2 linked regions of the Tribolium castaneum genome follow. The protein of the gene in region 1 binds, or shares a complex with, the protein of each later gene. Links are inferred from orthologs where the notes say so. Each region holds a gene or a part of one and is shown on either strand. Other genes may lie near its edges.

Region 1 (4,999 bases):
GTTGGAAAACACAACTTATAAGTACCGTCAAATTTTCGCACATGTATTCCATGAGCAAAATTGTAGCCTGCTTCACCTGCTCCACCTCCCATTCGACTCCCTTGACTAGTACTATAGTAGCATGAAGTTTGGACCTAGTTTTGAACATGACTTGCACTTTGTACTGTTCCTGGATTTTAATTACGTAAGGACACGTATTATCAATATTTTGGGCCATTATTGGAGGCTCAAACCCAAAAATCAGCGGAATTAATTCCTGAAATGATTGTACTAGTGGTAGGGTTGGATTCAAAATGTTTGATAACTATACCCTAACGCGACTCCTTGCATTTTCAACCCCTTCCAAATCGCCCGAAATCGAAACTTGATTGCTTTTTTCCATCGGATTCGAACGATTCGAATCAGGGAAATGTACGTGGCATTGAGTTTCTTCCATGACACGTTTAATACTCAGCCCTCCTCTGCCGATAATATGCGAATGGTCCGTGTAACTTATGTCCATTTTCATGGTTACACGATTGCATCTCGTGTACAAAACCGTCATAATCCTGTCTTTGGCGGCTTTAACATCCTCTTCTTTGCCGGCGATCCTCACGTGAGGATCCTTTTTCGATTTAGCCCCCAATTTGAGTTTGTTTGGCCACGTTATGTAAGTGTCAGTGTCTTCCATAATGTTCGCAAAAAAAACGTCAGCAGGGATCAGTGCATCGTTGTCCCCTTTTTTTACAAATAATTTCACAAATTACAAAAAAAACTTTACTTACCACTAAGCATCTGTTCCAACTTTTTGCGGTCGACCCGGAACCGGTCCTGGTACAAATCCGAAATGTCCTTTAATCCGTGTTTGGCAACAAAATCCCTTAATTCCTCTCTGGAGCCCCAATTTGAGTTGAAACCAGAAGTAGCCGTGCCGCTTTCCGACACTTCTGATTGTGTGTCGGAATTTTTTACCTCGATTCCACGAGGTGTAGCACAATTACAAGACATTTTTTTTTTAAATCACTACGTCCACAATTAATTAATGACTAACCCCATTTAATGGTCACTTTGTAAGGATTTTTACGCGTTTTTAAGGGCTGTGTAGGTGACACGCTTTTGGTAATTTGCGCGACTGAACTCTGATAAGGGCCAAAGAGAAGTTTTATCTCCTGCTTTTTCTCAGCATGTTTTTCTTCAATCTTATCTGAAGTACTCTGGTACAGGTAAGCGCCAAATTTTACTATTTGCCAACTTTTTCAGGTTTCTAAATAAAAGAAATAAAGTATTTCAACAAAACTTTATTTGTCCTTAAGTGTTACACAATTTATTTCTACCACAAATAATTCATCCCCCAATTTAAATCTACCGCCACGATATGTCAAGCGGTGGCGCTACTTGATTATCATCAATTTTCCGAATTTTGCCAAAAACTGCGGGGAAACTAAATAAAATGAGTTGATAAAACCCGTCTGCACTTGAAAATGGGTGAAGTTATGAAACACCTGCGTGAGAAATCACGGAAACGCAAGCAACTTCTGGCTCAAACTGTACGTATAGTAAAAATGTGGTTATGTATCACTGACAAATAATGTTTAAGCTTGGTGTTTCCAACCCCGAGGAGCTCCGCCAGGTCCTAGGAACCACAACCGAGGTCTCTAAGAGACGTCCCGATTCCACCAACAACGAAAACGAAAAATACGACTACAAGAAAGACACTCCAAATGAATTGGTCTATCGTGACTCTTCAACTTTTCTCAAAGGGACTCAATCGTCGAACCCCCATAATGACTACTGCCAACATTTTGTCGACACTGGTCAAAGACCCCAGAATTTCATCCGCGATGTCGGTCTAGCGGACCGGTTTGAGGAGTACCCCAAATTACGTGAATTAATCAAATTAAAAGACGAACTTATTGCACAAACTGCAAATCCCCCTATGTATCTCAAATGTGATTTAACGACTTATGATTTGAAAAACCTAAATTGTAAGTTTGATGTGATTTTAATTGAACCACCTTTGGAAGAATACCAGAGAACCATGGGGGCCACAAATATGCAGTTCTGGCCATGGGACCAAATCATGAATTTGGATGTGGGGGAAGTGGCAGCGCAACGAAGTTTCGTATTTTTGTGGTGTGGAAGTTCAGATGGACTTGACATGGGGCGCGTGTGTCTCAGAAAATGGGGCTTTCGCCGGTATTTTCCCCATTTTTAGACCAAAATTTTGTAATAATAAATCTAATTACAGATGCGAGGATATTTGTTGGATTCGCACAAACATAAAAAATCCAGGTCATTCGAAAAACCTTGACCCTAAAGCAGTGTTCCAAAGGACAAAGGAACACTGTCTTATGGGTATTAAAGGAACGGTTCGGCGGTCAACCGACGGGGATTTTATTCACGCCAACGTCGACATTGATTTGATCATTTCGGAAGAGAACGAATATGGAAGTTTGGAAAAACCGGTTGAAATTTTCCATATAATCGAACACTTCTGTTTGGGGCGTCGGCGCCTCCACATTTTCGGTAGAGACAGTACCATACGTCCAGGTTGGTTAACGATCGGTCCCGAGTTAACAAATTCGAATTTCAATGCCGATTTATACGCGAGTTATTTTACTAATAATAATATAACGACGGGATGTACGGAACGAATTGAAGCTTTGAGGCCGAAAAGTCCGCCTCCAAAGGGCAAAGGAAATTCCGGAGGACGAGGTCGGGGCAACTTTCAGCGAGGACGTGGCAGGGGACGTTGAAAAAACACTTTTTAAAGCTTTTATTTTTAATTTATGACACTACCATAGTCTCCAGCAGTGCGCTCAGATCTGATTTGAAAAAATTATGACACTACCAAATCATCTCCAGCAGTGTTCTCAGATCTAATAACTTAAAATATAATATTAATCTTGGATCACAATCACAATAAGCAATATCAATATAAAAACTATAATAACCATACAATTATGTATTTATATATAAAAATAGTGGTTTACTTTATTTTCGTTCAATAATAATGACGCAGTCACATAATTTTTGTTACTTTAACCTTATAATACAATTTTTATATTATAAAACTGGTTGGTACCATGTTAAAAAATATTTTTCTGAAGACCATACACTGGGTTCGAGATTGTTTTCAATTAAAATCAGTTAAAACATTAACAAAATTTGGCATCGTAAGTACAACTTGTTTCTATTGTTGAAACACAAAGAGAAAAATTAAAACATGTTCTAAGTTTAACTTATAAGAAGGTACTTCCTAATGTAAAAAAATACATTGAGAAAAAAACTATGCACTAAATAATTCGAGCATACAAATTATTGGTCTTAATAAAATAATTTAACAGCCTTTTCTAGGGAAGAGAGAAATTTTCGTTAAGTTATTACAATTATAAAATTAGGGAAAATTAGAACTGAAGCCTGAACAAGAAATCGTATACAGTTTTGGATCGTTAAATTATTCTTCATTCAGTCTTCATATTGTACTGGCAATTCGGTTCACAATTAGTTCATTTCTAAATTTCCCTACAAAAAAAACTAGGGAGAGGGTTAGGGGGAAAATGGCAAAAATCTTATAATAACCGGTAACCAAAGTACTAACATTGGCAAGATAAAATGAAATGAGATCAAAAAAGCATTTGTACTCTCATAATTAAAAAGTGTTTTGACTGATTTTAAACTTGGTTTAAAAAAAGCAAGCGGATGAATGAATGATCAAAAAAAAATAATGACACAATCCCTTCTCTACATGCAATATTTACAGTTTTGTACGATGCATGCCCTTTGAGCCTCCCATTCACAGGTACGTGGACTCCCCTAGAAATAAATTTAAGTAAGACTGATTTCCCAACATTGTACACACAACACAAATAAGCACAAGCACAATTTACACATAATTACCTGAAATCCGTATTTGTTCGGAGGCTTTTTATACGAAAAAAAAAATAATAATAAAAATCAGACCAACGAGAGAATTATTATATCTTTTTAATCATTGTCTCATTAACGGAAAATACATTCTTACAACTTGAGCTTACACAATACAGTTTATTAAATTCAAAAAACCAGAATCATCACTAAGCAAAAAATGTGATTGTCCTACGAAGAAAAAATTTTGAGGTAGACGTCGCTGTTCCCTAATAATCTATCTGACTGACACACCAATTTAATAAACTGTAATCCGGCTGCTTTTTGTACTCGATTTTGTGTTATTATTACTTGCGAATAGAAACGGTCTCGGATGCGAGCCTTGAGGGACGCCCAGGGTAGATAAACAAAAACGAATCTAGAAATACTGGTAAATGCACGATTAGACATGGAGTTACGCAGTCAACAATTCCGGTTGTTGGTCGCCGCTGCTTGATGTTGTTAGTTGCGAAGCTAACTCGCATTCTGATAATATTCTGTAGCCAACACCTCGAGGATCATCCATTAGGGTCTCGCCTTCATCCAGGACTGCATGAGATTAACCCCAAACATAGATTAGTAAAGACACATGCAGATGATTCGATCATAGAGAGAGAGAGAGAGAGAGAGAGTTAATACCAACACGAAATGAATGAAATGGATTGCGCAAGCGTTGTACTTGGATTTAAAATAAAAACAACAAAAACGAAAAAGTCTTTTCGAAAAAACCAAAACAGATCAAGGAAAATATATTCTTTTACAAAGCCAAATTTTTGTAGCTTACACAACACACTTTATACTCGTCAACTATACAACTACATCCTAATGAAATAAATACTTTTTTCTCTTTTTAACAGATAGAGACAATAATATTTTTTCTGTTCAAACAGCAACAATGACACTTTGAAATTTTAATAATTATTACAAATAACATCACTGGATTTTCCTCTAATTGTTTCTGAATTTTATTCTAATTTTGGGTTTGGACGGGTTGCCTGACAAGTGTCGTGTACTCACCGCTTTCCCAGCCTTCTTCTGCTGAATCGTTTTCTTCTGACCATTCGGCTTCTGAACTTTCGCTAGGTGTGTCTTGAGATAATCGGGGGATTTCAGG
Region 2 (4,026 bases), about 5.7 Mb from region 1:
GGCCCCACGTGGAGTGCATGCCAGGACCGGAGATCACATTAGTACAAATTGAATCAAATTAATTGAAACACCGGAAGGGGAATTGGCGAATTAGCCCTCCCTACATCCGCCATAAACCCAGCCTACTTGACTCACCTGCCCATTTGCGCGTCTTCGCCGAAGCCATCCTGAAACGGGACACTTTCACACCTTAATAAATAATTTTGATAAATTAATTAAAAAAAATCTCAAACACCCGTCATTTATTATTTAGGTGCACGTCTAATCTCTCGAAGTAGTGTCCGCATACTCGTGTTTAACCAAACGGCGCTTACAATTTTTACCGCCTTTGCTATACCTCCAACGACGTCACTCACCGGTTTATCCCCTCCAGAAGCGACGACATCACGCGATTGTGGACGAAAAACGAATTATTTATGAGTTTGCGGCTTAATTAATTACATGTGATTTGTCTTAAGTGTATTGATCAATTTACGGTGGCTGAGAGTATCGTAAATAACGAAATTTGATAACGATGACAAGGATAAGGGAGATAAACAGTTTTTGATTGATTTCTTTACATTTATCACGTCGGAAACACGTCATATATGCGTTAATAAAGCCGAAAATTAACATTTTGCAATTATCGGACCTGAGGTGTGATGATTAATTTCACAAAAAAAGTTACATGTAATGAAGCCTAAATAAAGACACGATTAAAATTCGCTATCTACCACAAATATTTTGACCGAAATATTTTGTAAACGCAAAGCCGATGTAATGAATTTATTGATGATATGTCAAATAAAAATTATTAATAGCAGAAGAATAGCAAACAAGATAAAAGTAAATCATTTCGACAATTTCCCGAAATTTAACGTGATTTTGGGTAAATGAATCCAAAATTTTTGTAATTTTGCTTAAAAATGAAACGGCAAGTGACAAAAATTTATATTTTTTGTATTATTTTCCACAGTCATCTACACCATAAGTAACAATAAATACTGAAACTTTTTGCCTGCAAACTCGAATCTTAATTTTTTTATTCAGCTGTATTTCAGAAGAGATCATATGTAATTCAGAGTAACAAAGATCTAATTCGTATTGGAATATGTGTTGTTGGGCGCAGGCCTCGTAAAATGACGCGAAACACCCTATGCTTTTTGCTTGATCAATTGGGCGTTATTGTATGCAACCAGCAAAACAGGATGTGGTGTCGTTAGCTTTGAGCGTTGCTGTACCGGCGTCCAGCAGCCCGTCGAAGTCGCTCGCTGCGTTACCGACGGCGTCCAAATGTCAAAAAGTGAATAATGGCGTCTAATTTCAGTGTGTCCGTTGTTTTATGCTGCGTTCCCTGTTGATTTCAGATGTCTCACCGTTGGCCCCGCGTCATTTTTCGTGTTTACGTTCGAACATTGCCTAAGTGAGAGCCCACTTTGGGGCAGGCACCGCGCTCAAGTGAGTATTTTCACCGCAACCTCCTTCAGGGATAACAATGGCCGCCGGGGGCACGTTGTAGCTTCAGTCGAGGCTTGATTCGGCAGGATGTCGGAGGGAGGGAGCGGGCCGGAGGCCCAGCCCGGCAGCCCCGCCGACAAGGCCCCCGCGAGAGTGCTGGTGAGCGAGTCGGAGATGGGGGCCCTCAGCCCTGCGGAGTGGTGCGGCCGGTGGAGGCAGCAGGACGCGTACATCGCGGCCCTGGAACGGCGCCTGGCCCAGCAGGAAGGTACTTAGTTCAGTTACTCTAGTGTGTCTTTCAGTGCCACCACCACAAAAATTCCTTGTCAATCTCTATGTCTGTTTTGTTGATGAGTGGTGCAGTGTAGTGTCGTTCGTGCATCGGTGAAGTGATAATGCGTCGTGATTGCAGGCGAACTAGAGGACCTGCGCCAGACCACGGACAAGACACGAAACCAACTCAACGAGTCCCAGCAACGGGAACGGGTGTTGATGAGGCGCTTGACTGCCAAAGAGCAGGAGACGCAGGACTACGTGGTCAGTAATCATTTTATTTGCCACTCAAATGTTCTTAAGCGCGGGGTGGGTGCCGGAGTGCAGACGAGCTTTTCTGAGTGGAATCGAATTCAAAGTGACACAGTGAAGTGTTTGCACTAGACGGAAACAATGACAAGGTGTCCACAATTGACCAGTAACTTTGATTTGAACGCTGAACTCAAAAACTTACTTTTCCCTAACGGGGACTTTAATTAACGCCGCACTATGCTTAGTATAGTCGCTGTTTACTTGGCCAAAGTAAACAGTCTACCAAAAATGACTAGTTTTTATTTGTGTTCTGTCTGTTTATTGTATTGTTCAGAAATGCGCCTGGTTTTAAGGAATGTTTGATAATTTACTACCTTGGATCAATACCATTCAGTCTTACAGTGAAATATCAAACGATTTACTTTCCTTCGTCAGAAATATCCGATCAATCACTTTAGTTTTTTCGTTGGCTGCTTTGGACTTCAGCCAACTAAAAAACTAAAATAAATTGCTCCTTCCGATCAGATATTGAGACAAAACATTTCCTGTTGTGTTTATTAAATAAGGAGATTATCTGCTTTTACAAAGTATTACATGTTCAATTATTTATTACGAGACTGATTAATGATTTAGGTTGTTTGGAATCCAAAATTTTATAAAAGAATAAAAAACTTGTCTACTAATGAATTGTGATGCTTTCATCCAAAATATTTTTACTAGGTAAAGAAAAGTAGGGCGAAGACATTCAAATACGATTGTGTTAATTACACTATCCAACAAATTTACTACTTTTCTTACTTTACATTATACTTCTTGTGATGTTGATTTCGAGAAATCGCATTTCAGGTTACACAAGTTTTTTTTTCTGTAAAGCAAAGTAAGTTAAATTATGAAAAGTATGCAGTCTGTGCTGATTTTTGAATGCAAAATCCAAATTTAGAGGAAACACGCACGATAACAACGTGATTTGTTTCGTTTTTAAGGAACAAATCGTTGATATTCAGTGCATTTATTAATAAAACAACATCTAGATGAATTAGAGAAACTATACTTTCAGACAATTTCGTTCATTTCTACGCGTAGTGTAGATGAAAATAACTTAATTTATACGAAATAAGTGTCCAAATACTGTGCTTTAAAGGGTCGTTTTTAAGAGAAGATAAGCCTTTCCTATTGAACGACACTATTAATAAAATAAACCGGTTTGAGGTATTTTTCTTGTTTTAAAGCAAAGAATTGTTAAAAATGAACTTATTTCAAAGTAAATGCCAAGATAGTGCTGTTTTATTATTCATTAATGAATCAAGTATCAAAATAAAGCGATTTGCTTCGTTTTTAGGCAAAGAATTGTTAGGAATCAACTTTATTATACGAGTATTTTCGTAACATGGTGCTTGAAAAAAGTAATTATGCGAAAAAGAAAGACCTATAGAAAAATAGTAAAAATAAATTTATTTAAAATAAATGCCAAGATAGGGCTGTCTTATTATCCATTAACGAAACAGGTATCAAAATAAAGCGATTTGCTTCGTTTTTAGACAAAAAATTGTTAGGAATCAACATTATTATACGAGTATTTTCGTAAAATGGTGCTTAAAAAAAGTAATTATGCGAAAAAGGAAGACCAATAGAAAAAATAAGTTTTAAATTTGGATTCTACATGAACAAATTAATAATTATTGTACTTTCTCTAGCAGTAAATTGTGCAATTTACGTAATATTCACTTTAAAGTTTAAAGGTTTGTCCTTTTTTATAAATTTTCTAGTCATTTAAATCTTTTTTGTCTTAATAAACATTTTGAAAGTTCCACAAAACGTAATTAGTAATAAAATAAATATTAAACAGACAAGAATTTGTTTGTGCTAAAGAAACCTTTGATCATAGGCAAACAATTTTATACATTAATATTTGTCTCGAAGTTTTTTGTGTTCTAATTGACATTACAACCTCGCAAAATGGATTTTTTCTTCATGTTTAGCAAACATAGGTAAGTTATGTTTGTGTAGTTTTTTACTGTTCAGAAATGTTACTCATTAGGTGCTAATTAAATTTTTAATGTTCTG

What was found. The genes of interacting proteins can lie anywhere in the genome.
Region 2: Mettl14 (region 1) and fl(2)d share a complex: the UniProt entries of both Homo sapiens proteins name them as parts of the WMM complex. The link is inferred for Tribolium castaneum from reciprocal best matches to the Homo sapiens genes METTL14 and WTAP.

Annotation. Positions count from the first base shown.
Region 1 is NC_087399.1:165,879-170,877, reverse strand, and holds Mettl14 (N6-adenosine-methyltransferase non-catalytic subunit), read left to right. Parts: upstream 1-1,331; 5' UTR 1,332-1,460; coding exon 1,461-1,526; intron 1,527-1,576; coding exon 1,577-2,175; intron 2,176-2,227; coding exon 2,228-2,735; 3' UTR 2,736-3,009; downstream 3,010-4,999. Other genes in the region: BicC (protein bicaudal C), read right to left, coding at 26-256, 311-717, 765-987; phosphatidylinositol 3,4,5-trisphosphate 3-phosphatase and dual-specificity protein phosphatase PTEN, read right to left, coding at 4,078-4,264, 4,314-4,434, 4,903-4,999. UniProt on the Homo sapiens protein: The METTL3-METTL14 heterodimer forms a N6-methyltransferase complex that methylates adenosine residues at the N(6) position of some mRNAs and regulates the circadian clock, differentiation of embryonic stem cells and cortical neurogenesis.
Region 2 is NC_087399.1:5,869,394-5,873,419, forward strand, and holds the start of fl(2)d (pre-mRNA-splicing regulator female-lethal(2)D), read left to right. Parts: upstream 1-1,226; 5' UTR 1,227-1,437; intron 1,438-1,498; 5' UTR 1,499-1,524; coding exon 1,525-1,705; intron 1,706-1,849; coding exon 1,850-1,974; intron 1,975-4,026. Other genes in the region: sialin, read right to left, coding at 136-166. UniProt on the Homo sapiens protein: Associated component of the WMM complex, a complex that mediates N6-methyladenosine (m6A) methylation of RNAs, a modification that plays a role in the efficiency of mRNA splicing and RNA processing.